2 linked regions of the Caenorhabditis elegans genome follow. The protein of the gene in region 1 purifies or fractionates together with the protein of each later gene. This does not show direct contact. Each region holds a gene or a part of one and is shown in the gene's direction. Other genes may lie near its edges.

Region 1 (16,601 bases):
TCCACTTCCTGATCCAAAAAAGGTAATCAACTTGAATTTGTGAATTATCTGTATGTAACTTTTCAGTATTTGGACTTTTATTCTGCGTCAAAGGCTGAAGCGGAAACCTATGTCCTTTCACAATCCACACCAGATTTTAAGACAGTATGCTTAAGATTTAGAGGAATTTATGGACCTGAAGATCCCAATGTAACACTTAAAGTTGCTGTAAGTTCTAGCTAAAATAAGCCACAAATGTTGTATTTTGTTGTTCAGAATCTTATAAAAAATGGCTTGTTCATTGGAATGGTGTCGGCTCATGGAAGAGAGTCTGTATCGTGTGCGAGTAGTGGAGTCAACTGTGCAAAAGCATTCGCCCTCGCTGATCAGATGCTTCAAAATCCGGACGGATTGCATGGAAGGGTAAAATAATAATAGAAATAATTTGGAGTAGCGTCAGTAAGTAAATCGTTAAAAATTACGCATATGGTGCCAAAATAACAAAATATCATATTAATAATTTTCTAATTATGTTTATAAAATTAATATTCACGAATTGTAAGGATTGGAACATACAGTGGTTTTTATTTTTTAAGTGAAAACAACACAGTTATTATCACTTTTTAGACTGTAAAAGTACAGTTTCAAAAATTTGTTTGAAAAGTTTTATTATAGAATTTGGTAATTTTGGCAACATACGAGTGGTTTTATTAACTTCACCACTGGCGTTACTTCAGCAGTGAATTTAAAATGATATATTTAATATTCAAAACGCATTACTTTTCGCAGGCCTACTACATTTTGGACGGAGAAAACGTGGGACAATTCCAATTTTGGACACCATTAGTCCTTGCGCTGGGAAAACAACCACCATCGTTCTATACTCCGTACGACTTTATAAAAGCCGTTGTACCATATTTTCAAAACGTGTGCTACGGAGTATTCAAATTACCGCCACTTCTCACAAAGTTTGAGCTCTCCATTTTAGCAGTTGATAACACGTATAGCATTGAGAGGGCTCGTCGCGAGTTAGGATATGAACCGGAACCCTGTGTCATGACAGATGTAATAAAAACTAATATCATAACCAAGTAAATGATTTTTTACAGGTTGCAAAATACTATCAAGATCTGGAAGAGAATGAAGTAGCTACAGCGACTACAGAATGGAAATCTGCAATTTCCATCCTCATCGTATTCATTTCAATTGCTTTTTTATTTTTGTTCAATTTGAACTGACCATTTATGTTTTAATGAAGTAAAATTTCAAAAAATTTTGAACTAAATTCCTCATAGTTTTCCTGACAACCAAAGTACATAAACTTGATTATGCTTAACTATAAAATTGGTTATCATTGCCAAAAAAACTGAAATTTCTGATTTAACAACAAATCATAATCATGGTTTTTATTATCAGCAAATTGATAAGGTGAAAAAAACGCTAGGGGGTTCCGTTAACAAAATTGAATACAGCTACTGACTGAGAATCGGAAGTTTAGAAAATAATTTTAATACTTCAGATTTTACAAATATTTATAATTTAAATAAAAAAATCTAAATGTTAAAAGTTGAAAATTTTAAAAGCTATGTGAAGCTATGTGAACCACAACCACAAATCTTTTTTTTTCAATTTTTCAAACGAGTTATTTTAGGTTGGTTTAATTTCAAGATTGCATTTTTTATCAAGAGATATGGTCTTTTTCCAACTCACAAATTTTTTTCACCAATATACCTTGTACGACAAGGCACAATATTTATGGCACTGATAACAAACAGTTGACCTACTGAAAAAGTTCACAATTTTTTTTAATGATAACTGGGTTTCTGGAAAATCCTGTAATTTTATGCTAAAAACTTATTTTGTAAAAAATTAAAGTACAGTTACAGTTAATGTGTAATGTGTCTATGAGGGCATTGTGGACTCACAATGCACATATCATAGATCCAGATTTTTTTGGTTATATTAAATAACCAAAAAAAAATGAAGAAAATTCTAAAAAATCAAGAAACTTAGTAAGCTAATTTATATATGTATCTGTAGACTGTAGACAACAACTGTGGACACAAAAACTGGGAAGAACTGGTGCTAATGTATACATCAAATATCAACGATAATTCAATATCAAAACCCACAAACCGAGTATTTTGGGGCAGGAAGAAAAACTGGCTCAATTTCTCATTTTTCAACATTTTTTCCTCGAAACCCTTTGTTCACTTGGATTTCTTGGAACTTTCTTGACTATTCAGAATACAACAAATAAAGTTACGCTAACGGTACGGTAAGTTATCACAATTGTGAACAAATTTCAAAATTCTGATTTTTTAAAACTTTTTTTTCCGTAACAGGTTATCGAAATGTAAAATAAACGGTTTTTTTTCTAACCTTTTTTGTGCACTGCGTCCCAACGGTCGTAAATTCGTACAGCAATAAATCTGTATCACCATTTTAGCATCTGTCAAAAGTGCCACGTTTTCTCAACTTCTCTGATAATATTCTCAACATTGTACTCAAGTTTTAATGGCCTGATCGGTGGCACACAGACGTTTTTATCAAGGAAAACACGACTTTTTAGGAGTTTTTTTTAAAGGGCAATAGATCACAAGATTTTGCGATTGAAGTGGTAATGGAGGGTGAAAGGTCGATTTATGGGGAGAGACGAACGAACTGTCGAAATTTGAATTTTTAAGTCAAAACGTTCAAATTACCGTTTCTAAGCATTGACAGAAAAAGTTGCATTGTTTGGTAAACTTGCATTAAATGATAGAAAATGAAACAGGCTGAATATAACTGTAAAAATGAAAGTTTTCAAAAAATTTTATTATTTGTTTATTTGCAAAACTAAGTAAACTGTATCAATTATGTTTAAACCAGACGCTGACCGCGCCTCCGGCGCATCCAACTGGCTGGAATAAATTTCAAATACCCCTTGAAAATAACATTGAAATTTTGAAATTAATTTGATTTTTTTGAATTGATATTATCCTATATTGGACGGAAGTAAACTCTACTTTATATATAGTAAATGATTCCCGCTTAAATAAATGACTGCATAAATTATCGGTTTTTTCAGATTTTTATTAGATATCATTTAAAATATGTTTTGTCAAAATTTCAAATAATTTTCCCTAAATTATTTAGAAAAAATTTATGTGAAAATATCAATTTTCAGGCCAATGTTAAAGTTTCAGGAAATATCTTACAGAAAATACATTTGGCAAAATTAAAAAATCATTTAAAACCTTTTTTAAATTTTTAAACCAGTTTTATTCGGACACATACCGTTTATTTTTTTAAAATTAAATCAGAATTCTTAAACGACCAGTACCGTAAATTACTATTTTTACTCATAGGAAGTTCTATAATTTATCTTCATGTTCCATGTAGGTATTAAAACAGAAGTGAGTCTGTTGTCGGTAAATTATAAGAACGTCAATCACTGTTAATCTTCTATTGCCACAAGGGAGAATGATAAGAGTTTGCACTTTGTGACCGGGTTTTTGGTATGGGAGGTAACACACGTTTGCGTTCCATTTCTAGGCATTATTATATTTTGTTGAGTAAAACAAGAACATTCTATTTCATTTTTACTTGAGGAACTTGACTTTGATTAACTTTCATTTGGTTTTTAAGCAACTGAAAACCTTGACTAGAATTATTTTTCCTATTAAAACTCTACTGTTGTTAATGACCTTGAAAATACCTTTTTTGTATTGATTTTGGTGTAATCTGCCAAGAAATATCATTCAATGTGTCCGCGAAATCACTACGTTATTACTGGAGGAGGTGGATTCCTTGGTGCTCATCTTATAGCAGCTCTTCAGAAAAATGGGGATCGTACCAAATGCATTGTCGTTGATCCGAATCCTCGATTATCCCATTTTTCAGCTATAGACTTTGATAAAAGTCTTGTGGAATATGAAAAAGTTTGAATTTTATTTCAAATTCTGTCATTAATACTAACAGTTAAGGGCTCATTCCTTGATAGAAAAGTGCTTGAACGCGTTCTACCGAACGCTATTACAGTATTTCATCTATGTGCAATTGGGCACACCGGATGGTTTGGGGTAGAAATCATAGAATTTATAGTTTGAAAATTTAAGATTTTAAGCTTTCAGGCCCAAAAACATCGTGAATATGTGTACGCATTCAATGTAACTGGCACAAAATTTCTGATTGAAAAGTGTAAATTTTTTGGTGTTCCAAGATTTATCTACTCTTCAAGTATTGCTGTAGTGTTTGTGGGAAAACCAATTTACAATTGTGACGAATCGGAACCCTACCCTTTGAAATCGGAAGTATTGATATGTGACATAAGATTTTAATTTCAATCATATTTTCAGTATCTTGATATTTACTCGTCTTCAAAAGCAGAAGCTGAAGCGTTTGTGCGGTCTCAGTCTACTATACAATTTAAAACAACTTGCTTGCGATTTCGAGCAATTTATGGCCCTCAAGATGTGACAGTTGCTGAGAAAGTTGTTGTAAGTAATTTAGATGTGGCGTAAGGATTTTGTTCCTCAATGAGGTGAAAATGCTTGCAAAACTTAATTGTATAGTGAAACAGTTTGATACATTATTTTCAACATTTTTGATAGAAAATCAGTTTTTGGGAATTTATATTGATGTGTAGAAAAACACAGTTATTTTCTAAAAATTACTTTACTTCCTGTGGAGAATTTTAAGAAGTGGCTCAAAAACTACCTCAAAGCCGCAATATATCGAACAATTTGCCAATTAATATTTAAGTCAGGTTATATCAAATTTTCCAAACTTCCAATGAAAATTGAAATTATTTTATAAAATACTAGATACTATTTCTATTATTTCTATGTAACCTTGCAAAAAAAGTTTTGGCACAACGATGAAAAAAGGGATTTGTTGTTAATACACCGAAAAAAAGTAGCACATATCTCTATTGCAGGACACTGAACCGAAATTCGCTTCTCCATCTTTGAAAACTAAAAAATCTAAAATTTCAGCAAATGGTCCGTAAAAACTTGTTTATGGTCAAAATATCTCGCCATGGTCGGGAGTCTGTTTCAAACATGAGCAGTGGCGAAAACTGTGGACTTGCTCTTCATCTGGCAAATCAAGAGCTATCAAAAAAAGAGGGCTCTCATGGAGAAGTTAGTCAAATTTTAAAAGTTTTAAATGTCCATAGATTTCAGGTGTATTTCATAACAGATGGTGAGACAGTCGGCCAGTACTCAGTTTGGTCCCCTTTAATAAAAGCTCTTGGCAAGACACCACCTCATCATTTTGTTTCGTGTCTACTTGTTTCTACATTTGTATCGCTTTCATCGTATCTCTGCTATAAAATTTTTAACTCAAGCCCACCGATGACACGATTCGAACTAGAGGTTTTGATAACAGATAACACATATTCTATTGAAAAGGCTCGAAGAGAATTGGGATATTGTCCGGAGCAAAATCTTTTTGAAAAGGTGAATATTAATTCAATTTAGAAAACAAAACACACATAAAAAAATTCCAGACTGTCGAATACTATCGTCTCAAAGCTAAACCAAAGCTGCACCAATCGGAAAACTCTAAAAATCACATGACAATGGAAGTTGTTTTATTTTTAAGTATTTGTGTCTTTTTGTCACTATTTTTGGTTTTCCAAATTGTATTATGAAAAACTTAGAAACTGTCTATGCATAAAGGGAAGCAGTTTTACCTGATTTTTTTTTTCAAAGCAGGTACATCTTTCAAGGAGCATGTACAGGGTGGCGCACAATTACCCGCACACAAATACTGTAGTGTAACTTTAAAACCAGACGTCAGAAAAACATAAAACTCAACAAAAAGTTTATTCATATCCAAAACAACATAACTTGATTAGTCATGCTCCATGCGACCTCCTTTCTTAGCCATGGCTTCTCGAAGAAGTCCCGGGTAGGCATCGATGACTGTACGCAGATACTCCTCCAACAAATCGCCCCATTCCACGATCAAGATCTTCTTCAGAGCCTCAATACTTAAGTGAGGTTTGGTATGGACCTTTGCCTACAAGAACCCTCAATTGGAATAATCCAATAAGTTGAGGTCCAGCGATGACGGTGCCAGTTATTCTTAAGAATGAACGCGGTAAAATGAGTCTCGCATCAGCTTTGAGTGAGATTGGCGGTGTGCCGTCTTGCTGTTACTCCATTAAAGTGAGATGATGTCCATGGGATCAAACTCTTCTCCAAAATATCAAAACTTACAGGTCCATGTTGATTTTCACTCCTTTATTGACAAAAACAAGGAGATTTGACCTTCGGACTTAGTGGTACCATTCTGCTGAAACAGAACGGATTGAGCTGAAAATTGACGAAATAGTGAAAAACAAGATAATGATCAAGTATTTGTATATCGCATTTGCAATGTTTTGTCCCTGCATACGTGGTGCCGCTGCAAACTTTTGTGCGGGTAATTGTGCGCCACCCTGTATTTAAGCGAATGGGTCTTGCCACGCAAAATTCATTCCAGAATAGTTTTGTTTGTGCCTTTAAATTTACAATAGAAAGCTTCAAATTTAACTTCAACAAAAAAATTGCTTAAAATTGTAGGCCACGGTATAACGTATTCAAAATAAAAATATACAAAAAATACATTAAACTTGAAATTAGAATAAAAAATTGTATTCTAGGTTTTGACTTTCAGTTTCTGTAAACATCCTGCACAATGTTTTTTTTTAATTTAACGATCTAGAACTACAAATAGCTACATTTATATTGTTCCGATCAGACTTAAAGTTTCAGTTTTTCAAAATTGGAAGAACAAAAAACGACATTGGAAAAAATGTTAACGTCAACAAGTGTTGAATAATTTGTCATAAATTGTGATGTTGGCATGGAGAGCAGTATGAAATGAGTTTTTAAGAGTCGCTGCTTCGACATTCCGCCAGAAAATGACTGCGTTTCATCGCCACTCCCGAATAAATGGAAAACTATTCGTCACGGCGCCGTTTTCTATGGGTTTCACTTCATTTTCTTAGCCAAAGTTCATTGTGTCAGTTGACGTCAAATGAAGAGCAAATGGTTATTTTTGGTGTTGAACTATGTTTATTAAAAAATGCTAATATTGTAGATATTTGGCTGTAATTTTCAACTAAATGTCACAAATTCCAAAAAAATGAACTTTCGAATGTTTTTTTAAAATTTCAAATTGATTTCCAGGTTTACAAAACTTCCATGATTTAATATAAGGTGAGAAACAACTACTTTACGGCAAAGTTCAAATAAACGTTCAACGAAAAGTGACATAAAAAGTTTCAGCCGAAATTTTTAAAGATGAAAGCTATTTTCTGCTGTTAAACTTTCGGTAGGTACCTATTTTAAATACATTTTTTGAGATGCATTTTTTGAAAAGTTTGTCTGGAAATTTAAAATTAGCTATGCCGTATTTCATGTAATAGTATTGCACCCCCTTAGCAAAATATTTTTCTACATATATTTCAGTAGTTAAACTTTTTTTGATATAACTATTATATAGAGATCCGAGATAGAATTCGTCAAAGTGGATGTGTCAGTTCGAGAAGTTTGAAACTGCCCACATTCGGAACCCTTAAAGCAAATACAAACGTTATAAGCTTCATAGCTAGATAACCTTACCCAACAACTTGTTCCACGCTTGAAACTAATTCGATAGAAAATGCGCAACAGTTTCGATTCTTCCCTTTTGTGTTCGAATCTCTGCGGGTCATTCATTATCTGTGGCAGTTTTTATCATCTCATCCGAAATGCGTCTCCATTGACAGTGTGTGGTTCACTTATAACAGATTTTCATTTCCTACAGTTTTTGATGTTTCCGTGACTTCCCTGAAAAGTGAACGAGGCTTTAACGACTGCAACGAACGTGTTGGATGGGTGTACGAGGCCGCACACCCATAACAATATTAGATTCAGTAGTTGCCTCGTGGAAAATTATCAGCGTTTTAAAACCAGTTTCCTTGTTTGTCATGAACATCACAACTACTTGTATGTGCCTCAAAGCAATTCGTGGTTTTTTTTCAACTTTTAAAGGCCTGCATTATTGGGACGTTGTGCTCCATTTTGTTATAAAACTGGTCAAATATATTTTCTTGCTGGTAGATGTAAATACAAAGTTTTGCTAAAATTATCATCAATTACCAGACTTCTAGTTCTGACTGGGTTTACCAAAAAAAAAAAATTGACAATTAAAAATGCCAATCGTTATCTTCCAATTCCACAAATTCTGAGTTTTAGAGCAGAATTCTGATAGAACCAAACACATGAACTTTTTTATCAGTCCACCCATCTACCGCACGTATCGATACCACTGTTGACATTTTTGCCATATATTGTCTTCTTTCAGTCTGACCTGCCTATTTCAACTTTTCCCCTATCCCCAAATAATGCAGAGTCTATCGTCTATGTTGTCTCCGGTAAGTTTATTTTTTTGAAAATTAAATTAAATAATTGATATACTTTCAGTTAAACACAAATAATACCGTTTACTCTGATGATGTAAGGCCCAGGAGCCAGGAAACAACCAGCACAAACTTTCAAACACCTTTGACCATTACAATTCCTCCAATTGAGTATGATATTCCAGCATGCCAGGTAAAATCTTTCATTTTTGAAATTAAAATTTTCTTCAAGTTTGAAAAAATATCCCAAATTCTGGCCTGCTCAAAAAATTTTTATTTCAGTTCAACCAACAACCACTTCTAACTTCCAAAAGCCCGGAACTTGATGCACTAGTGAAACTAAACAAAGAAATAGGAAATCAGTACACCTATCAAATGTTTGATGTTGAAAAAGCAAGCAATAGTAACCATCATCTTGGTTTCCAGAATGATCCGTAAGTTCAGTAAAATTAGCTATCGTTTGGCATGGCTGCCCACACAGATTAACTTTCACATGATCTTTTTATAGTTGAAATTTTTTTAGCGCTTGTTATGATATTCGGTCATGTTGGATGAGTGTATTCACATTAAACTTCATTCCCATTATTTGTATACGACCAGGAGCTTTTCGAATTTATTTTAAAAGTTCGTTTTTTTGAGCATTTGGAAATTTGTCAAACTTTGACTGAAATGTTTTAAAACTCTAAAAGTTTAGACTCCAAACGAAACATTTTATAGTTAGCCTGACAATTTTATAAGCAACTGAAAGTAGAAAACATTGTGTCATTTATTTTCCCCAGAAATAAAATATTTCCTTCAAAACTACAGAATTTTTCTTAATTTTCATTTTTCAGCCGAATGGCATATGACAAGATCATCTACACTTCAACCAACAAGCTCGGCTGCAACGATTTCTATTACCAATGTGCATACGGAGAACCTAAAACCGACAGGATGGCCATCCGTCACAAGCTCGACAACGACGACATTGAGCCAGCAGCAAAACGTCATTGTGCCGGCGAATTAGACTACTCAAGATTTGGAAATGAGCGTAGTGTGGTTGTGCAAAATACGAATGCAATTGTGCATCAAGAATTATGGAAGGATAATTGATATGGAACATAACATTTTGAAATTTCTCTGCATTTTCTTTGTTGTATCACCTCGAATCCATTCTTTTTAGAAACCGATTTTCTTCCTCGCCATTCGTTCCATTAGGAACATGATTGTCAGTCTCTTTCGCCATTCCATGAATTCCATAAACGATCTGCTCCCCTTTCCCTCCCATCATAAAAATATCTGCATTAATGCAGTGTGAAAAATTGCCTCTTTTTCTCTCCCCCTCTCACTTCTGCATTTCAATTCAATGTTTGATGTGGGACAGGCATGCAAACGTTGTGCTGTGTTCCAAATTCAATTTTGATTCCAATAAAAGCCCCTTCTTGTATTTTTTTTCTTGTGTTTTTTTTTGCTCCAAAATTCAATCGTCTTTATCATTTCTATTTCTCAGATCTAAAATCCTCAGAGGTCAATTCAAAAATTCAAATTTCAAAACTGAACCTTTAATTTACATGCGCAAAAAGGCACACAACCTATTCTCACTGAAGCGTTTTGTGCCCTCCTTCTCACCCATTTTTATATGCACTCAGCACATGAAACCGCTCCATGAAGGGATAATGCAAGCGACTTTTGGCCCTCGATTTTTTTATAACCACATTAAATATCTTTGTTTTCTTCGATAATACCTTCTTCTTTTTCTTTTTTTTCCCATAATAGCATTCGAATTTTTGGACATAAGATAATATGAACAGATTTTTTTTAGTTTCTAATAAAGTGGAATGGGAGGGGAAGAAAAACTAATTTGGTGCTAGATTTATAATGAGAATTTTCGTTCTTTTTGTGCGCCCAACATTCTGCTCATGGAGCAAAAAAACTTTTCAATTTCCTTATTTTTTATTCAGAAGTGCTCACAAAGTTCGTAACGTTCTCCCTCCCGCCCAAAAGTTCTTATTCCGACATGCCTCATGAGGTGAGTGTTTTTTTTGTTACCGGATCTAAGAGATTGAAGCAAAGACAATTTGTTCAATATTGTTTTTTAGACAAAGAAGAACAGTTTGAAAAGAAACTATCCGGATAGAGATGATGGTTGGTTGCTTTGTTATCTGTGAGAAAGTGTGACAATAAAGATTACAGATCAGCTTCACAAAGAGACCGAGGGAGTTTTGACGAATGTCGTTTCGATTCTCAAAACTCAAGAAAACCAAGATGTGGCACCAAGCTTCACAGACCAGTCGACGGTGGTTAAGGTACACATCTAGAAAATGAACACCAAACACTATGTAAAGAAGGAAACTACCGTATGAGTTTCATGAGCAAAAGTAAAATTTCAAGTAGAAATTTGTTTAAATTCGAAATTAATATAACAAATGCGCAATAATTTAATTTATTTGAAAGTCAATAGAAACATTTCAATAAAATTTAACAAAAAAAGTGATTTCAACTGATATTGGATTTTCATTTCAATGATGATTCTGGATTTTTTTCCAGGAAAAAAATATACCTGATTCAGCATATAAAAAGTTTTGTAACTAGATTTTAAATGGATATTTGAACAATTGAACCTGAAAAGGCAAATGTTAAAAAGCCAAGCCTTCCACTGCTATGGTGCTCACAAAATCGCAGAAAAACTTTATGAGAGTTATACCATATATTAACACGTGCTTACACATATTTGTGCGGTTGCCAACGCATGTTCATACTATTTTCACTAATCACTCTACAAGCTTATATTTTATGTAGAAATTTATAAAAATTTGGAAATATTGTTGCAGAAAAGAGTTTGAAAGTTTTCTGTAATTAAGTGTAAAACCATTGAAAATCGCACCAAAAATGACACTAAATTGTATTGATGGTTCTTGCAACAAAAAACAGGGGGATGCAGTGCTAATAAAGATGCAGTACAAATAGAGATGCAGTTTCAATACATAATATACGATAATTAATTATTTTAAGAATTTTGAAGAAACTTTTAAAAAACCGGTTCAAGTTTTCTAGTAATCCTTTGAACATTTTGAATAACTTTCTTAACAAGTGAGCGTGATCCTACAAACTTAACCAATTATCATATGCTTTATGATTATAATACTAATTTTTGAAAACTCTCACGATTTTATATCAAATAAGAACTGGAAAACTAATTTTAAGACTTTTTTGAGTTGGAGAATGAAAACTTTTATTTTCAATAACTGTAACTGACGAGTAATTTTTACGAACCTACAATTCCAATTCTCTCGTACGTGTTTGCAAAGAAAACCTAAAATTGATTGAATCTGAAAGTTAATGAAGTTTCGGAACTCTTGCAAGTCATACTAATAAAAGAACAATCGTAATTTCAATTTCAGGGGTCCATTCCGCCACCAAATACTCCGTGCACTAAAGACTAGTATCAAAAGTACAAACCACCAGTGTCATTCAATTGCCAAAACAATAAGGAAGAAAAAAAAATGCATTGTCGAGTGTTTCAACACTGTTCCCTGATATAAAATTCAATTGCCTTTCAAAAGTGTTCCATTATTTTACAATTTCATAATAATTGTCCAATTTCTTACTATTTCATATTCACTGCTAAATTATATTTTCATATTTTATTATGCTTTATACAAAAATTTGGTTTTTGCTCTTCTATTTGGTAAAGGGTAGATTTTTTCTTTATTTTTGTTTTTCAGTTACTCTCAATAAAAGAAATAGAGGCGGTCGGTGCGCTCTCCGACGGTTTTCTCTCGAAGCTATTTGTTCTCTCCGCACTTACCAAATTTCTGTAGCATCTCTAGTCATGGCTAGATGAAAAAATTGCCTGAACTTTCCGGTGTACAATATTCAATATTTTAATAATTTTCCTAAAATTATGGATCCGCCAAAAAAACGAAAGTAAGTTTTTTCAACCACACGCCAAATAGATTAAAACTTAAAAATTGTTTATTTCAATTGAACACATTGAGAGTAGTGCTAGTTTTGCCAGAATTACTATTTTTATTGAACGGACCACTCTTTGTTGCACCCTATTTTGCACCCTCTCACCAGCGGAGGGTATCACTGCGCACAGGCAAAAAGAGGAAAGGCGCAATTATCGATTTTCTTCCCTGCACTGTTTCCAAGGACTTTTTGAGCAAATATTCAGCGAAACTTTGGAGTTTTTGAGAGTATTGATAAATTTTATTTTTCTCCAATATTTTATTACACTTGCCACCAGCCTCACTTATCACCATATAATTCATCATTCAGGGCAAGTCCGCAGAATGTCGTCAAGTCGAGTGCATGCAAACAGAGTGGCGTCAGACAGAGGTAACATACCTAGTTTAATGAACACGCCAGTCAATAATGACGAAATTTCCCGCTTTTTCTTCTATACTCCACACATTCTCTCTTTCTGCTTCTCAAAAACTTTTGAAGATTACGAAATATACCACACCTCTTTTTTTTGCAGTACGTCTTCTCGAAAACGGCAGCTACAACAACCGGCTATGCCGGACGCAAACGGGCATACTTATGTAAGATTTCTTTTCGTTTTATTACGAAAAAATATTAATCCATTCATGAATTCAGGCCTTCGCGCCGCCAAGAAATCGACACAATCTGGCAAAGCTAAACTTGAGCGGCATGAGAAATCCAGAGCCAGATTTGACAAATGAAGATAATATGAATAGCTTGTAAGGCATATTGATTGGTACATTTTTCAACTGTATGATAATTGTATTTTTTCAGAGATTATGTGAAGAAATATCTATCAAACACTCTTGTCCTCCCACCAAACGATAGAATTCACGAGTTTGAAAGAGATCACTTGCAAGAGCTGGAACTATTGGGTAATGGCAGTTTTGGAGTGGTTCGAAAGATGCTTCACAGGCCGTCTAACGTAGAAATGGCAGTTAAAGTAAGTTTACAAAAGGAAAATTTAAAGAAAAATCGATAATTTTGAGCAAATCTCCCTTATCAACAACGGCCCGGACGACGCGTTCAATAAATCGATGCAAAGGTTCCGACTGGAAGTTGAAGCAACAAAAGCGGCCAGCAACTGTGATGAGATTGTTCGATACTACGGAATCACCTTCAATGAGGTAAAAACTAATTTTTATTTGGCATAAATTATATTTGTCAATGTTTCAGGGTGTCGCCTGGATGTGCATGGAGCTGATGGACTTGTCGCTCGATAAATTGTACATGATTGCACATGATATTCAGAAGGTTGAGATTCCAGAACAGATCCTCGGAGCAGTGGCAGTTGCGGTAGATATTTTTGAACAATTAAAACCCGCCTGCAAAACCAAATTCCTTGATAAAGTAAAACATCCGCTGCGTTAACAAAACTACACCAAAACGTATTCAATTTGTATATTTCAGACCATTCGAGCACTGGAGCATCTGAAAACCACACACCACATCATACATCGAGGTAAGTTCCCATTCCAATTTCGCTTTTTTTCCAAAATTGTTTTTATCACTTTTCAGACATCAAGCCATCGAATATTCTGCTGGACAGACATGGCTGTGTCAAGTTGTGCGATTTCGGTATCTGCGGCTATCTTCAAAACTCAGTTGCTCAGTCTGTTGATGTCGGCTGCCGTCCGTACATGGCTGTAAGTTTTGAAATATTCAAATCATGAAGATTTCGCAATTTAAGCGGGGTTTTATTTGCATGCGTCTCCGTGGAAACAACACCCTAACAAAGGTCGGAGTTCACATTTCAACATAATTGAGATCTCGTGAATTTTCGAAACTATCAAAAAAGACAGGAAGCCTAAAACTAAAGAAATTTCGTTGTTTTTTCTTTTAAGCTATGAATTTTGTTTAAAAATTGTGACTCTTAACTGACAGAACTCGTTGTGTAATAAATAATTTATTCATATTTACAAACGAAACCGAAATTTGACCTATCAAAAAAAAATAGCGTGCTGCGCTTCACTACTATGCGTTATTAAATAGCTGCGCGTTTTTGTATGAAGTGTTTTCTTTTGAAAAAATCTTCAGTTTTGGAAAACGACATATGTACGTTGTTTTTAAAAGAAATTAAAAATAAAAGGACCTATTGTCAAAGCTTATTACCGATTCCATTTCAGCCTGAGCGTCTTGCACCCAATGGCGATGGATACGACATAAAATCTGAAGTATGGAGTTTGGGGATCACTATGGTCGAAGTGGCCAATGGCAAATACCCATATGATGGTTTCATGGATGCTCCAATACTCGATCAAGTTCGAATGGTTGTTTATGGAGACCCTCCAATTTTGGATTCAGATCACGAAGTTTCGATGTCGATGAAACGGTTTATTGCGTTGTGGTAAGTGGTTTTTTTTAAATTTTGCATTGTTCCCACATCAGCATATTTTCCAGCACTATAAAAGATCGCAACCTTCGAGCAAGCTTTGACGATCTGAAGAAAACAAACATCTACAGAGACTACATCCAAGAAGAGCATCGTGTTACTGTTGGCCAATTTGTATTAAAAATGTATCAACACCGTCTTCGTCTTCCGTTTGCTATCTTTTAACTTTTGGATGGATCATCCATTTTGTATTATTAGTATTATTTGTTCAATACCTTTTTCCCCATTTCCACTGTTCACTACGGAATCATTCATATCATTTTCCTCGTCCGTCTCAACTTTCCACTACTTGTTGCCTTTTTTCTTTCTAAACTACCGAAACAAATTCCCATGCACCTCATCATGTTCTACAATTTTTTAAAGTAAATTCAATGTATTTGTGATAACATCCATGCATATTCTAGTCATTCACAACCAATCAATTTGTGATTATTTTTCTCAATAAGATGTTTCTATTTCACTCTCTAATCAGCACCGAAGCTCATTTTCTACATTACACACACGAGAGTGATTCATTTATTTGTCTTTTGTTTCTATCATCTCGTTTTGATGTCACTCTTGTCATGTTTTCGAGTGAAAATGAACACTGTAAAAAGAAATTGATCATCAAAGTGAATTTCTAAAATGCCAAACATTCGATTGTTATTATTAATATTAAGACAACAACAACCATCCATGGATTTGCGAGAATGGAGGTCAAGATATCTGTCGCGCGAGAAACAGTTGAAATTAGGGGGCAAAAGAGAAAGGAAGAAAAGTTTGTCGAATCGTATCTGTGAAACATTTGATTAGGTTGGAATGCGATTTTGGTTTTTCCTATGTCTGACTTGCTTGCTGACTACTGTTAATGCAACATGTAAGTTCAAATTTCAAATATCATTTTTTAAAATTAGTATTGTACTCTACTTCTCAACTTTAAAACTTTGATGGTCAATTTGTAGAGCGTAATACTATAATTCATAAGAAACATACTCAGTGTGGCATGTTCTCCCAATATTTTTCATTAAAATCAAATGATAGCATATTGAAAAATACTTTCTTTATGTAAAAACTTTTTTTTTACATCTCAGTCGGAACAAATGAATATCTAATAAAATAATTTTCTGAAAGTTGGAATTTACCAGAAGCAGTTTTTGATAGTTTTTCGGAGTTTTTCAGACAATTTTTGAGCAGTTTTTCAAATGTTCCAACTTAAATTAAAATTGTTTTCAGGCAAAACTAATATTTTCTCTGTACTCTATCACTAAATTTTAGAGAAAAGAATTGGAAGAACATTATTCACTGGCTCATTTGGCCGGTTGGCCGGCAATTGCCATGTAGCCCGGCCTCTGTGCCCACTGCTTTAATGAGGCAGATAGTATCTCGGTTATTGTTGATTTTTTTGCAAAATATGTTTCTATATTTCGGTTGTTGAACTTTTTTTTTAAATGAGACCTAATAGTAAGACAACCAAGATATAAGCCGTCAATAGACGGGTTTGAAAAACAGACGCAATTGATACGTTAGTCAATTTTGGTATTCCTGTTTACTTCACCCAGTAATTTAAGGGCAATGTTTCAATGTGCATCCGAGCCACGCAGTATCCAACTCTGACGCCATTGCTGAACTCTTTCACGTCACTGCCGGAGAATGCCTTAACTACTGTATATCACAAGCAGCTCAGAAAGGAGTAAAATTTGCTTTCTAAAAACTTATTTAATTCAAACAAAAATTACAGGATGGTTGTGTTTCTGTGGTCTTCCATAGAAAGTTCAGTACCTGCCAGCTTTATGGGCACGATGGAACTCACAACGGTTTGTTACTACAAATATCATAAGTTACACTAATTTTCCATTTTTCAGGCGCTGAGGTGGTGTATTTGGAGGATCACGACTTTTACATTCGCAG
Region 2 (15,554 bases), about 12 Mb from region 1:
AAGTTTCAAAACTTTGTGGTTCAGGAAACAATTGAAATAAGCAGAAAATAAGTAGTTTAGGAAACAACTCAATTTTGTTTGTATAGTAAATTTATTGGGTAAAGATTCAAAATTGCATTTTAAAAAAAAGTACACTAATATCGTTCTAAATTTTTTTTTATTAGTTGTACCTAACAATAGGTTCACTTTGTTCAATTAATTTTATATTTCTCATTGAGCCCACAGCTATCTTTTGGTTTAAGGCATTATTCATTTAAAACCTTTAATTAAAAATTATAAAAACAATCCGTAAGATATCTAACAGGATGGTTTCTTCATTGCAATTACAGAACAACTACTTTTTTGGAATACAGGAATAAGTACACACTTTTGTTTGTAGTATGTGGTCAACGTGCATGTCGCGACATCCACCTTCATGATTTTAAAATTGTCATCGTTTTGCAAAAAGTCAAGAAGATTTGAAGGATTCAAGTACTACTGAATATGTATGATTCACTTCAACTTTGAAACTGATCTAAATGTTTCGATCAAATGACAATTTTTGAATCAAAACTTAAAAAACTGGGAATCAGAATCAGGCAATTTTCAAACGGTTTAATACATGCCTGTGTCAGATTGCGCCTACTTATGATTGGTTATAGGCCTGCCCTGCGCCTGCGTGTATACATGTCTGCATATAAGCCAGACAATATACCTAATTGCCTATCCCCTCTGCCTGCCTGTATGCCTGTACTCATGTGCTAGTTCTTTCAATTTAGCCTACGCTTCCAAAATGCCGTGTCAACATAATGACTAAATTTCTAAGTGCCTACTTATTTCTCTAACGCCTGCCTGACCGTGCGCCTGTTCAGTGTATATGCCTGCCTGAAAAACCTGTATGCAAACCTTTTTAAAATATGTCTACTGCCGTCCTCTCTAGGTGCCTGCCAAGTACCTGCCTGTTACCTTTCTGCCTATGTATGTGCCTGTCTAATACATGCATATTTTTGTGCCTACCTACGGACAGTCTGCTCGATGCTTTCTTTAAAAAACTAAAAAAGAAACAACCTCTTCAGATTTGAAAGCGGATCTCAAAACTAATTCAAAAATTGCACATAATATTTTTCGACAAAAAACTAATTCAATAAACTTGTAAAAAAATACAGAACCCTATTAACCTACGAAGACCAACTATGGTTCACATTTTCTCAAACATACTGAGCACATACGTACACAGAGACTCAAGGAAATTGGATAGCGTCGCGTTCACACTCTCCAATAGAACAGTACTGTATAACTTTTCAAAAATGAAAAGAGAAACTGGCGAAAAAAATTGCAAAACGTCTCACAATGTTTGACCAACACGTTGCCGGGATATGTATGGTCTTCGGTTCAAATTTGATTTCTGTTTCTGTTTCGTCTGACCTTTTGATACGCTCAAGTACATCATTTCAAGTTTCCTTCATTTTTTTATATTGCAAAGATGTATGCGAGAAATATAAAAGACGCGGAACTTAACAAGACCTAATAGACATAATTTTCGGTAACAATTTTGAACTACGTTGTTGGAGAAAAGTGTCTAGGGCAGACGAACAGTTGCAAAGAAAGGGGGAGGAAAATCCTCGAGTTGTATTGTATTTCTCAGCTTTTGTCGATCCAATGTTCCGCTAAAAAGTACCCAGGTGTTTACCGACAGACATCTCACAGCTTTTTACCACTTTTCTACCATGTCACCACCAGCGGCTCGTATTTGCACGAAGTCCCCATGTAGATAATAATGTGATTGTTTGGTTGATCGCTTAGAAGATGTTTGAAATTTAGCGTGAGAAAAAGAAACGAAACGGAAACAAGATCAGATTTTTTTTTACTCCGTTAAAGAAAGAATGAGCAAAAGATGAAAACACAGAACACATGAAGTTAGGAAATTTGTGGGATTTAAAAAAATGAATGTTTTTTCTGTATACTGAATTAATTGATCTCAACCCAACTCGGCTAATTTTGAATTGAAGACTGACAATTTTTGCGTAGAAGTTTCAAAACTTTAAAAAATTTCAGAATCTCGAACAAGTCTGCCACATTGATGTAGCCAGGTACAACCTACTGCTACAGTAGTCTTGGTAATGCTTCAAAAAGTAATGCCCTCGATCGATGTCGGTTGCATATTTAGCAGAATATCATTAAAAGTATCGTCAGTGGAGACTCAATTTATTTGTAAATACACTAATATTGGGTTAAAAAAGAGTAAGTTTCATAATAAAACACTATAAGCATTTTCATTTCTTTAAAAATGTTCACTCAGTTTAGGAAATTTACCAAATTAGCGAATTTGGCAGGTGAACATTTCAGAAATATCAATAAAATATGCATATTTGGGGTTGTGGAATAATTTATAAAACTTCATAAAAATGAGCAAACGTTTTATATTCGACAATTCTAACTTTATGACTTCAAGAAGACTTGAGGCTAAATTGAAAGTGTGTTTTTTTAGAAGAGTGTCATCAAAACTCAAGAAATTAATTTTTTTTATTTCAAACCGAAAAAATTTCATTGGAAGCAATTGAAACAAGTGAACTTGGACAAGCTTGCAAAAGTATCCGGTGACTGAAAATATGATGCTGTGACGAGGCACGGGGTAGAATGAAAACGAAAACACTGGAAAAATCCAAGAAGAGGGTGGATGGAAAAGTTTGCGGTAGACGATGGTTTTTGGAGCTCTGTTTGAAATATGAGAAAAGTGGAGGGAGAGTTTAAGGGGATCCCCCGCGTGCTACACAGTATGGCAGAATTAGGGAACTACGGACTTTTGAACATTTTTTTTCTTTCAGCCTTTATCACAATTCATCACGAAAGATGACAAATCGGAATTTTCAGAGTTATAATACAAATGTAAAATATTGAATAGCCAGATAAGAAAGGCAAGAAAACAACAAAAAGCTTTATGACGACAAAAACATCAATGCCCAAAGACTTTCAGAGAGTGTTCCTTATGAGTCAAGTCATTTTTAATTAGTGTCAAAAAGTCTGCTGTATTTCAGTCAAATGATGCGGCACTCGGAATGGTTGAAACACATGTCGAAAATTGAGAAGATGACGGATATGTAACTTAATAGTGACCTAGAGAAATGAAATGTGCTTGCAAGGTGTCTAGGAAAAATTGTGCAAAAGTTTAGAGTATTTTACAAGTGGTCATGTCGTCATTAGTTCAGTATGTATAAAAAACCATAAAATTAGAGTTCCTTGTAAGACTCAAGAAATAAGAAATTTGACGGATACTTAATCAAGAAACTCATCCATTACCTTGATTTCAAGCATAGTCTTAAAGTAGTGGAAGTTCTATACTATCAGAACAATATAAGAATTTTCAAACATGAATACAAAATATATTGGAACAATCGTAGAACCACAATTTGAGAAAAAATTCAAAATGTTAGCGTACCGACAATGGGCAAACTTTCATGAACTCGACGTGAACTTAATCAAACAAGTGTACGATCTTAAGTGGCCGGCAGTCTGTGATGGTTACCGACAAGTGATGGATCATTGGTATCCTGAGTCAAAAGAAGAAGATTTGTCACTTTTGTAGTGATAACGTTCTGTTTTTTTGTTCAGTTTTTGAGCAATAAAGTTTTAGGGTTATTTACGAATATTGATTTTGTTTTTAGTTTCTCAGTTTTAATTTTTACACCGATATTTTTGGCATGCTAATCAAAAAAGTTAATATTAAAATCCAAAAACCGCGGAAAACCCACCAGCAGGCTCAACTTCTAATTTACTAGCAAAAACAAGCTAAGCCCCTGGTGTTTTTCAGAGCTTGAATAGATGTGCGTTCATAGAAATGTTGAAAATAGCTGAAATTGATGAATGGGTTTGAGAAAGGAGATGTGAACAAAGTTCCGTTTAGTAGTTTTCATGAAAAATATCACGAAAGCAAAAAAAGTGACGTGTAATTATCCTGACACATGATGCAACATTCTAAAGAATATATTCAATTTGTAGTGCTTTACGTGATAAATATTATTATGAAGCGCGCCGGAATTTTGAAACATTTTCATTTCTTACTACCCACAACAGTAAAAATTCTGTCATCACCGAAGACACAGTTTCAAGCAAAAACCTGGGAAAAATGTGAACATTTTTTAACCAACATTAAAAGGTCTGTTGTCACCGGACAGAAATTTGTACTAAAATGTACTTTCCGATTTTTGTTTAAAAACATTTAATTGTACTAAAATTACATAAAACTTACTCACTAAAAGTTAATCTATTTGTCGCCTAGTTGGCGCGGATCACAGGTTTCCTGATTTTTTCCGTCCTTAACTTGACTGGAGCATGACAACTTCTCCTGATACGTTGTGTGTGCTGATTTTCTGCGCATTGGCGGGCGCCCTTGTCGTTGTTTACAGCAAAATAGTCTGCCATCGATTTTTCTTGCTCCAGTAGAACTGAAATTTTAATATAGTTAGTATATATTTTGAAATAATTACACTCGAGTAAGCAGCCATGAAACGTACCCAATGGTCTAGACCCGGACGAGTAGCCTTGAAAAAAGATCCATGATTCATTCTGGTTTGAAGAACTGTTTTTTCTCAAAATCCTCGTCGTCCTTCCAACCAAATAAAGTTGTGATAGAAAGTTTGGAAACGTTGTTAGAGTAATCAAACTTATTCATTTTGATCTGACGAATTCAAATTTAACGGTCATGGTTTTATGAGCTGTCCCTGAAAAAATAAAAAATAATCAATTAGGAAAAAATAATTCTTAGAAATATGAAGTAAGGAAAATTTTAGTACATTGAAAGAATAAAACCTATAAAACAAAAAAAAACGGGCACTACTAAGTATTTTAAAATTGAGTAATAAAATGAACTTGCACGCTAGAGTCTCTTTCATTCCTGTTTGGCAGTCCTTGTGGTATACGAAAAATTTGTGGAAAGACCAATATCGTTTCGATTCACTAACGCTTGCAAAACTGCAAGGCACAAACACAAATACATAATAGCAAAACAGTGGGAATAAACGCGCTATAGCGTTGAGGCGATGATGAGCAAAGAGCGGATAGTAACGCAGCCGCAGAGTGTCCCAGTTAAAGAGTCGCCGGCATATACATTATGACTGGGACTGCATTAAAACTGTATGTGACGTAATGCAGCCGCAGAGTGTCCTAGTTGAAGAGTCGCCGACATATACATTCTGACTGTGCCTGCATTAGAAGTGTATGTGACGTAATTGCAGCCGCAGAGTGTCCCAGCTGAGAGTGTATCCTAATATAATAATGTAACCTCTTTTCTCATAATCGATTTAACACTAAAACAAATTTATTCCCACTGTATATTATTATTTATTTTTGATGTGTCTTGTAGTTTTGCGAAAGTGAATCAAAAAGCTTTTGGTATTTCCTCAATTTTTTTGTATAACAAAGAAAAACAAACTGGATTGAAGTTTATATTATTACTCAGTTTTAAAATTGCAGTGTCCGTTTGTTCAGTTGGGTTGTTTTATTGGTTTTAATCTTTCAATGTATTAGCTTTTTCCTTCTAGTTAAGAATTATTGTTTTCTTAATCTTCGTTGTCTATATTGTTAATCTTCTTTTTTTTAGGGACAGCTCATAGAAGCGTGACCGTTAAATTCGAACTCGTCAGATCGAAATCAGTGAGTTTGAGTACTCCAACTATCGATGTTTGCAAATTTTCTACTACAGCTTGATTTGATTTGAAGGAAAACTTCAAGATCGAGAATTTTTGAGAGGATTATTTTTTTCAAACCAGAATGTAGCATGGCCCTTTATTCGGGTTTAGATCATCAGGCAAGTTTCACATCTTATTTGGGGTATACTTTTTAAAATAAAAATTTTCATAATACCAGATAAATTTCAATAAATCTTACCTAAAAAGAAATTCAGCTTAATTAAATTCACATTTTACAGGGATTGACTTCTAACACAGATGACCTCCTTTTACCTGCTTAAAAAACAGCGCGTTCCCGGAGAAATTGGCGACACACACACAATATCAAGGACTCAAGAAATCCTAAAAGTCCCGCTTGAGTTTGAGTTGAGATACAAATCTAGAGCTGCCAGTGGAGATATGAACGCATGAGATATATTTGGAATCCACAAACCACTGTTTGAAGCGAGCCCTGAAGCGTTTGGAAGCGATACATTTGAAGATTTCCATGATAAGCAGACAAGTAGAATTTCATTTTTAAAGTAATATGTATAAGGTACCATGTGTAACTTTTGAATTTATTGAATATTTTATTTGTGTACCAGGAAATTGGTTTTTAACTCATTACCATCAATGCAGTTCTCAAACGTACAAAACCTAGGCATATTCAAAGCACATTATTCCGACTGTATTTTTGGTCCCACTTCATTCGCCCTACCTGCTACAGCTACTAGTTAGTGCTGAAAAAAGAAAATTTGTTTTTTTTTCAGATTCTCAAATTGTTCTATCCGAAAAAATGTTCGACACTTGCGGCAGTTCAATTCCTGGAAAAAATATTTGATTTTGAGAGAAGTGTAGATTTGTGAAAACGTTACCCGATGGAACTGGAACGAATTAAATTAACCGAAATAATAAGAATACGTATCCAGAGAAATGTACGTATCGTCAAAATTGGAACGATTCTCCAATGCAACCTGGTACGGGATTATCCTTCGGTAAGTTATCAATATATTGGTACATGTTCCAATTGTTGTTTTCAGATATTTCACAAATTTTGAAGCAAGGATCTGATCCAAAGCAGAAGTTGCCGGAACGACAAGCCATTGTATTATAGATGTTTCGGAATTATATGATTTTGAGCTCACATTCCTTTTTGAGTGTTTCTTCAAACCAGAATAAAGCATGTGAGTGAATTTCCAATTAAATCAGTCTAAACTAGATTGTCGGGTACGTTCCCTGGCTGCTTGCCCAGATTTAGACCATCGGCCGAGCTTTATTGATACTTTGTCGGGTTTAGATCATCGGCCGAGCTTCATTGATACTTTGTCAGGTTTAGACCATCGGCCGAGCTTTATTGATACTTTGTCGGATTTAGACCATCGGCCGAGCTTCATTGATACTTTGTCGGGTTTAGATCATCGGTCGAGCTTCATTGATACTTTGTCGGGTTTAGACCATCGGCCGAGCTTCATTGATACTTTGTCGGATTCAGACCATTGGCCGAGCTTCATTGGTACTTTGTCGGGTTTAGATCATCGGCCGAGCTTCATTGATACTTTGTCGGGTTTAAACCATCGGCCGAGCTTCATTGATACTTTGCCGGGTTTAGACCATCGGCCGAGCTTCATTGATACTTTGTCGGGTTTAGACCATCGGCCGAGCTTCATTGATACTTTGTCGGGTTTAGACCATCGGCCGAGCTTCATTGATACTTTGTCGGGTTTAGATCATCGCTCGAGCTTCATTGATACTTTGTCGGATTTAGACCATTGGCCGAGCTTCATTGATACTTTGTCGGGTTTAGACCATCGGCCGAGCTTCATTGATACTTTGTCGGGTTTAGACCATCGGCCGAGCTTCATTGATACTTTGTCGGGTTTAGACCATCGGCCGAGCTTCATTGATACTTTGTCGGGTTTAGATCATCGCTCGAGCTTCATTGATACTTTGTCGGATTTAGACCATTGGCCGAGCTTCATTGATACTTTGTCGGGTTTAGACCATCGGCCGAGCTTCATTGATACTTTGTCGGGTTTAGACCATCGGCCGAGCTTCATTGATACTTTGTCGGGTTTAGACCATCGGCCGAGCTTCATTGATACTTTGTTGGGTTTAGACCATCGGCCGAGCTTCATTGATGTGCAAGCCATCTGGTACGTTGCAAAATGTTCTAATTATATTAAAATTTCAATTCTACTGGAGCAAGAAAAAATCGATGGAAGACTATTTGGCTGAAAGGAGCAACAAGCACCTTCAGCAATAAGCAGGAAATAAGCACACACAACGTATCAGACGTTTTTACAACCAAGTTAGGAACAAAAAAATCGGGGAACCTGTGATCTGCGCCAACTAGACGACAGATATATTCACTTAGTAGGTAAGATTTTTTTTTGAGTTTTGAAAAAAAAAAATATTGCAAAACACCTTGAAAATGAAGAGACAAGGGCATTGTTCCACGCCCTGTAGCGTAAAGAAAGATTTTCATAGCATAAATTTTTTTGTTGATTGCACAACCAAAAAGGATGTATTGTTGTGTAGTGCAACATACGATGCTTCTAAAATCGTTTCGAATAGAGAAAGTTTGAATGTTTTTGATAAGAAGTAATGTACTTGTAGTTCTCATTGTGATTACAGAGAAAACTATAGTATAATTTTGTTTCTAGTTCGAAGTTTGGTAGGATTTATGTATCAAGACAAAATTTCAAAAAAAAACAACTGAAGTTTTTCTTCAAAGAACCACGTGGGGGTGGCCAAACGAGACTCCCAATTCCGCTTGACAGTTTGCAGTGTGAATTCAGTTTGAATTGACGTTTTCTAGGTTTTTACTCGGAAAGTTGGATTTTTCTCAAATTGTAAACTTTATGAAAAGATAAATATAATATTATCCAAACAATACACGGTTATTGGTAGTAAAATTTTGATAAACTCCTGCAAAGTTTATGAAATTAGTTCACACATATCGGCTTTCCCATCTGATCTTTAAAAAAAGTCCATTCCGGAGCGATTATTACTCTTTGTATTTTGAATTAAACATCACTGATCAAATTTAAAAACATATTTCCGTTTTGTTTTCCAGAGTTTTTTTCTTTTCTGTCTTGATGTTCTCATGATTTCTCATTTTCTCCCGTCATATGTCATTTCATCAACACATGTTCCGATCCTCCTTGTGTTTTTTTGAAAATTCTCAAGTTCTGCTTTTGCGTTCCATGACGATGATATCAGCAAAACGTGTTGACAAAATAAAAGATTGTTCTCAACACATTCAAATGTCTAGTGTTCTTCACAAGTTTATTCTATTTCAATTCGGCTTGAAACATTAAGCATTGGAAAAAAATATAAAAAATTATAATTTTTGTTGTAGATTTCTGTGCCCGATTTAAAATTATTATAGTAATCTAAACTGAATATGAGAATCTAAGGAATCAACTGCGGTATTTTTGTAAAGACAAGTACTAAGAAAAACCTTCCTAATAATTGTATCGCCTTCCCTGCGCTTATTTCAATAAGACTACACCTCTGTTCTCTGCGGCACCAACACTCTCTCTCTCTCTCTCTCTTCACTTGTCGCTTATTTGAAAGGGGAAGGGGCAAAGCGTATTCTCAGAAAAGTTTTGATTTTGAAAAAGAAAAAAACAAGTAAATGGGAAATAATAATAATTTAAAACTAAACAAAGAAAGATAATATAATTATGTTTATATCCAGCAAAATAAAATTACCGTTCAAAAAAGATACAGTTGTGACTTTGCGACAAATGTTTTTTTTTTGTATGAATTTCAGTTTGACATCTAAATATCTTTCAGATATAACATTATTTGATAAAGACTTTTGAACATTATGTGAAGAACATAAACGATTTTGATATAATCTCTCCGGTAACAATTTCAAATTGAAACCACATGCACAACGCTCATGGAAACCTCATGGTCCCTTCGTTGCTGAGTCTCTCACTCTCCCACACTCTCTCGCTTTGTGACACCTGTATTGATTATCCCACGACAATCCAGCGAGCCATCGTCCTCGTTCGTTTATTCAAGTGCGCATCCGATTGTTCTCTTCCGTTTTCTTTTTGAATTTTATGTATTATTCCTTTCGCGCTGCTGCTGCTGTTGTTGCTGTGCTTTTTATTCGCTTCTCACTTGACATACATCGTTTGCTTGAGGTTTTATTGTCAGATTATCTCAAGTTGCTGAAGTTTGAATAGAAAATCAAAGAAAAATGCAAGGTCGTGGCGTGCTTTGTTTGAGATTTGGAACATTTTTCTGCATTTTTCATAGGAATTTTCGGTTTAGTTGCAAGAGCAACTGTGCAAACTCTATAATTCAACTGATGTCATCTTTTAAATTATTTTCGAAAATAGTTTTGTTCGAAATTAAATCAATGTTCAGTTTTGACTAAAAGCTTATACCTTTGCACTCTTCCCTCATTTTTTGTTGTTACTGGCGAATAATATTTTCATTTGAATAGGCACTTACCAGTTTGATTTATGAGTTTCACTTTTTTTGAAGCCCTCAAGTCTAGTATGCATTGTTTTTTAACTTGTGTTAAAAAGGTGCTTTGCCGTTTAACCTCTAAAAATTGAGAAATTAATTTTTTCATCTGTAGGAAAGTTTATGAAGTCAAAACAGAGTTCAGTTCAATTAAATTAAAAATTCGAATAATCACCAATTTTAGACATCAAACAGCTAAAAAAAACTTACAAAAAACATACGATCTTCAGTGTGTTGACGTTTTTACAAAATTTAGACATCTCTTTTTTTTCAAATTCACAAACCAGTGAAAATTCTTATAATATTTAGAAGCTTAAGTTTTAATTTGTGTCAATTTTTATTGGAAAAAAAAACTCGTCGCATATGTTTTCTTTGTCAAGCCAAACAGCTGGTTAAACAAAACAAAACAAAAAGTCCGTCTGCTCTTTTCTTCCGCAACTGATAATGTCATGATCGGCATTCTTTTCTAAAGCAAACAAAGAGATTCAAATTTTTTTGCGATTTTTTTTAGTTCGGCTTGGTAGAAAAAACAAAGAAAAGTTTTATAAACACTGAAACTTTTTGCGCATAAAAATCGAATATCGAAATTAGCAAAAAAAAAACACAAGAGAATAGTTTATGAACTGTGTTTTGACACACGAAAAACTTGAAATGTTGAAATTTTTCCAAATTTCGTGTCCTCAAATCTATGTGCCCTATATACATTAGGTAAGGTGAATAAGTTGCTCAGTTGCGCACAGAGATTTTTCCGTTTTAAACATTTTGAAGTTTTTCAAAGTTAAAATAAGCCAAGTTACCAAATGGAATATTGATCCGGTGCTCATTAAAGTCAGATGCAGAATTAAAAATTATGTGTATTTTATAATAGCTGAGCATCATTGCAAAATTCTAAAATCTTCTAACTCTGTTCTCTTGGAGTTCCCAAAAAAAAAATATAAATAAAACTAATTTTTCCTACAAAACCAGATAAAAAAAGTTTTCCGAAAGTAATGGGGTTATTCATGTAATTTTGCAAAATTTATTTTAATACATTAATGACGTCACAACTGTATTAAAATACATGGTTTTATGTAATTTAATACAGTCGTAACGTCATTTTTGTACACTTTTAATTTTCTGACACTACTTGAATAACCCCATAACAGAAATTATACACTGAATAGGGCAGAAAATACTTTTGTAAAAATTTAGATCAATTTTTAAAATTGTTAAAAGAACAAGCATTGCACTAACATTTTTTATCTTTGTATATTAGCTATACCCTAAAATGTTTTTAATTTGAAAAAAAAAACTGAAGCGTAATTTTTTTGTATTTTAGAAAGGAATAGCATAAAAATAATTACTTCTTGCGTGGTTAACATTATGGAATTGCAAAAATTCTAGGGTACAGCTAATTCACATGTACCACATTTTTGAACCACATTTTTTAAAAGTATATCAAAAATCCGGAAATAAATATTGTTGATTCAATCTTAATAGTCAGATTATTTAATATCAAAGCTGGATTTGTCAAGTTTCTAACTGCAGTAGTCATTCTACAATGAGTAAGCAAACTGTCCAAAAACACAAAACATTGTGAATTTCCTTTAGAAATAGAAATTCTGGTCTTTCAATTTCTTCAATTTCATCCATCAATTTCTATAAATTTGCATCAAACTCAAATTTTTTAAACATTTGTTTTTGCAAGAAATGTTTTGATAAACATCCCGTTGTGTTTTCCCCAAACATTTTTCTTGCTCAATCGCATATTTTAGTTCTAAACACTTCACAAACTTGTTTATTACCTTTATTAACACAAGAATTTCGAAACTACGTATTAGACATATAGGTGACAATCATCATTCTTAATGTCAGTGAATCACGTTCCAGTTCATTCTCTTATCTCGCTTTCGCTTCTTCTTCTTTCTCGCCCCGCTTTTTGTAACTGTTGTAAAAAAGTCTCATTGAAAATGAAACGACTTCTTAAGTTTTTCCTTCTTACTTTCAAATTTTCTTATTCGTCCTCCTCTTAAATAAAGAAGAAAAAACCAGATCCAATTGGCTGACTGGATTCTGAGGGTGTCTGCCTATACACACATAGAACACCCTCCACAAAATTACCTCCTTCTCCTCCTCTTCCTCATCTTTCTCTCTCACTCTTTCCCTGTGTGAGTTCTTCTAATTCTCTGCCCCCCGCATCCAGTATGTAGTGTCGAACCGTCTGCGTCTCTCGCACGTGTGCCACACATATTTTACTATTTCGCAACGGTCGAATGTCAACATTCTCCAGTCGGCGGGGTGTCTCTAGTTTCCAATACTACACTAGGCCTGCGTCTGCGCTGAATTTATGCATTACTTACTTCGTCATCATCCTCTTTTCTTTTTCCTCCTCCCGGGATTTTTTTTGTTTTGGTTTTAAAAACTGTATTTTTTTCCGTTTGCGGAAACAATAGAGTTTTATAGTTCCAGTTCCGTTTTGCTTCTCTACATTTTCAATAGTTTGTCAGAAAACATGCCAGGAAAAAATGTGTCAAACTGTTTGCATTTCTTGTTCGCCTACCTACAAAAACTCCGTAGTCTTTTGTAACCTCTTTACTCTTCGAAGAACATGGCAGGCTGTACTTTTGAAACCTGGCACATGCTTTCAAAGACCACTTTCAGAAATAGCTTCACTGTGGTGATTTTAACAAGTTTTTGGGTTTTATGGGCCTAGTTTCCCTTGAAAAGTTATTAAATTTGCTAAAACTTCATTTCATATTTGAATGAATTGACTAAAAAAATAAGCCAGAAAAAACACCAAAAAGTCAAAACAGTTTTCCGAATTTCAAAAACCTTTCACTTGTTGGTTTATATGCTAAAACTTCAAAATATTAACTTTTCTGAAAAATTCTGCGAATTCGGTAAAATCGCATATTAATTTCCAAAAAATCATTAATTTTTTTAAAAATATTCTCGTACGCCCACATTAGGCGAACTTGTTTTCATGACGTCATTTTTTGAAAAGTGATACATTCTGACAATTTGTTTTATGTGTATTATATCAGTAAACGAGTTCGTAGCTTAAAAATTAACTTGTTCACATTTTCTTGATATAGACTATTAAATCTTTTTGTTTTTACATTTAACAAATCGATTTCTCTTCATACAATACACTTTGAATAGTCGTTAGAAGCATTCCTTTTTCTAATTAGAAGTGAGAAAAAAGGCGACGACAAAGAGGAAGCAAAACCAGTCTTTCCTGACAATAATTTTCTTCCTAGCCGATTCTGCACGATTCCTTGCTGTAATTTCAATTTTTATCAAGGGAAAAGATGACCAAAAGTTTAGTGCCTCCACGCCAGGCTCTTATGAATAAAATGCATTTTTCTACGTCACTATATGTGTGCTCACTTAGTCATATAGAGCTTCAAGAACCCATTTCGCATTTGTAGTTCGAAAAAGTTGCTTTACAGGAAAAAGTTCATTTTCTACTTAGCTTCTTCTCCTTGCCATGTGTCTTAAAAGTCTCAATCAATTGCGTTTCACAAGTTTTAATCAGTTGTTATCAGTGTATGTCGTGTTGCCGACAAACACCCCCCCCCCTCCATTTTTCTAATTTTTGGCTATTGGCAGTATGTTTCCCATATATTTTTTGCCTTTCCTTGATTGATTTTTTGTTCTTGAGTTTGCGTTGTTGGTTGTTGGGCGCTCAAATCTTGCGAAAAAAGTTTAGAGGGATCGAAAAATAATTTATTTACTTCCAAAACAATTAGACAGTTTTTTAAATTTCGAATTGAAGAATCCTTCTCAGTTTTATTGTCAGATATTTGAATAATGTACCCTCCAGTTGACAATTTTCAATTCAATACAAAAGTTCCACTTTTTCATTAAGTTTCTGATATTTTTGTAGCATTTTCTTTTATTTCTGAGAGTATATCATTTTTAAGGATTTAACGAAAACTACGGTTTAAAAAACCAGCTCAATTCAGTACATTCAATCTTAAATTTTTCGCCTAAAAGTTTTTCAAAACTCTCAAACACTCTGCCATTTTCAGACGTAGCAATGGCAAGCACGTCAGGGGCGCTTGTCGACGACAACGTCCTCGAAGTGCTCCGCAAAGCACAGTTGGACGCATTTATTAGTCAGTTTGTCTTCTTATTCAACGTCAGAAGGTTTGATCACTTTTCACATGTTCGAGATAAAGATATGCTGGTGAGCTGGCAAACTTAGTTGAAATTTTATAATTTTTTTGTTTAGGAAATTGGTATGCAACAAGTTCAAATTCGGCAGCTCCGAGAGCAGATTCTCAAAATGTCCAGAGAAATGTGGAATCGGAGTGATCCGAAGCAAGTGTACATTCAAGCCGATCAGTCGATGCCAGCACAAAATTCGATTGACGAGAAAGCACTGATTCCAAATGAGCAGGTAGTGATTTCATAGCTCCACACGATTTAAAAAAAAAAAAATTTAGTGTTTTTGGTGCATACTAGAGCTGTAAAAATTGGCAATTTTCCGCATATCTTCAATTGACATGTTCTTTTTCAGTTAGAGACCGCGTTCAGACAATCTGAAAACTTTAAAATTTTTAATATGAATGAGCAAATTACATTGTTTTCCTCAGAAACTCTCAAAAAGTTGATTTCAACGTAAATAAAGCATTTACAATTAGAATAAATTTCACACAATTTTTTTTTGAATATTATTTATTATCCTGTTGATTCAATTTATTAAAAAAAAAACATTGGTTCTGTTTACAATTTTTAATAAACCAAAACACATCGTTTCACCCTGCTTCAACTATTTTGCCCAAATTAATTTATGTCCTGTTTCAGATTAAACTGTACGAGTTGATTGGCGAGGGCTCTTTTGCTGTGGTGAAGCGTGGTACGTGGACACAGAGCAATGGGACGCATGTGAATGTCGCTGTCAAAATTCTCCGCGACATTTCTCCAAATATTATGGATGATTTGAGAGTGAGTTCTACTTGTATGAACTGAAAAGAAAGCCCAATGTGAAATGTTCCAGGTGGAAGCCAGTCATTTGCTCAAGCTCCAGCACCCGTCTTTGATTCGCCTTTACGGAATTGTTCGCCAGCCAGCGATGATGGTTTGTTTGCTTGTTCTTTTTTTTTGTTCTTACAGAGTCGAATTTCAATCATGAACTTCAGGTGTTTGAACTCTGTGAAGGTGGTTCACTGCTCGACAGACTACGAGATGACAAAAAGGCAATTCTTCTGGTGTCACGGCTTCATGACTATTGTATGCAAATTGCGAAGGCTTTGCAGTTTTTGGAGTCAAAACACTGTGTACACAGAGATGTGGCAGCAAGGAATATTTTGTTGGCTAGAGACGAAAGGGTGAGAACTTTGAAAACTTTGGAAATACGATTAATGCAGAACAAAACTTAAAATACTCAAAAACTTTCAGACAGTCAAGATCTGTGATTTTGGACTCATGCGAGCACTA

The links.
Region 2: the proteins of ZC449.7 (region 1) and B0302.2 fractionate together in Caenorhabditis elegans (co-fractionation; one large-scale study listed by BioGRID). This does not show direct contact.

What each region holds. Positions count from the first base shown.
Region 1 is NC_003284.9:5,005,779-5,022,379, forward strand, and holds ZC449.7 (SCP domain-containing protein), read left to right. Parts: upstream 1-8,295; 5' UTR 8,296-8,341; coding exon 8,342-8,371; intron 8,372-8,420; coding exon 8,421-8,549; intron 8,550-8,638; coding exon 8,639-8,790; intron 8,791-9,189; coding exon 9,190-9,448; 3' UTR 9,449-9,782; downstream 9,783-16,601. Other genes in the region: hsd-2 (3-beta hydroxysteroid dehydrogenase/isomerase domain-containing protein), read left to right, coding at 1-22, 67-207, 256-402, 769-1,044, 1,089-1,217; hsd-3 (3-beta hydroxysteroid dehydrogenase/isomerase domain-containing protein), read left to right, coding at 3,726-3,902, 3,948-4,043, 4,095-4,274, 4,320-4,460, 4,959-5,444; ZC449.8 (uncharacterized protein), read left to right, coding at 10,353-10,364, 10,435-10,480, 10,529-10,641, 11,737-11,778; sek-3 (mitogen-activated protein kinase kinase), read left to right, coding at 12,240-12,262, 12,617-12,676, 12,819-12,882, 12,938-13,041, 13,097-13,265, 13,312-13,449, 13,499-13,618, 13,733-13,784 and 3 more; ZC449.2 (Apple domain-containing protein), read left to right, coding at 15,513-15,570, 16,262-16,383, 16,432-16,507, 16,556-16,601.
Region 2 is NC_003284.9:17,172,237-17,187,790, forward strand, and holds B0302.2 (uncharacterized protein), read left to right. Parts: upstream 1-6,302; 5' UTR 6,303-6,609; coding exon 6,610-6,637; intron 6,638-6,682; coding exon 6,683-6,756; downstream 6,757-15,554. Other genes in the region: B0302.4 (uncharacterized protein), read right to left, coding at 4,377-4,421, 4,491-4,541; Tyrosine-protein kinase sid-3, read left to right, coding at 14,152-14,301, 14,347-14,514, 14,922-15,062, 15,115-15,195, 15,257-15,445, 15,516-15,554.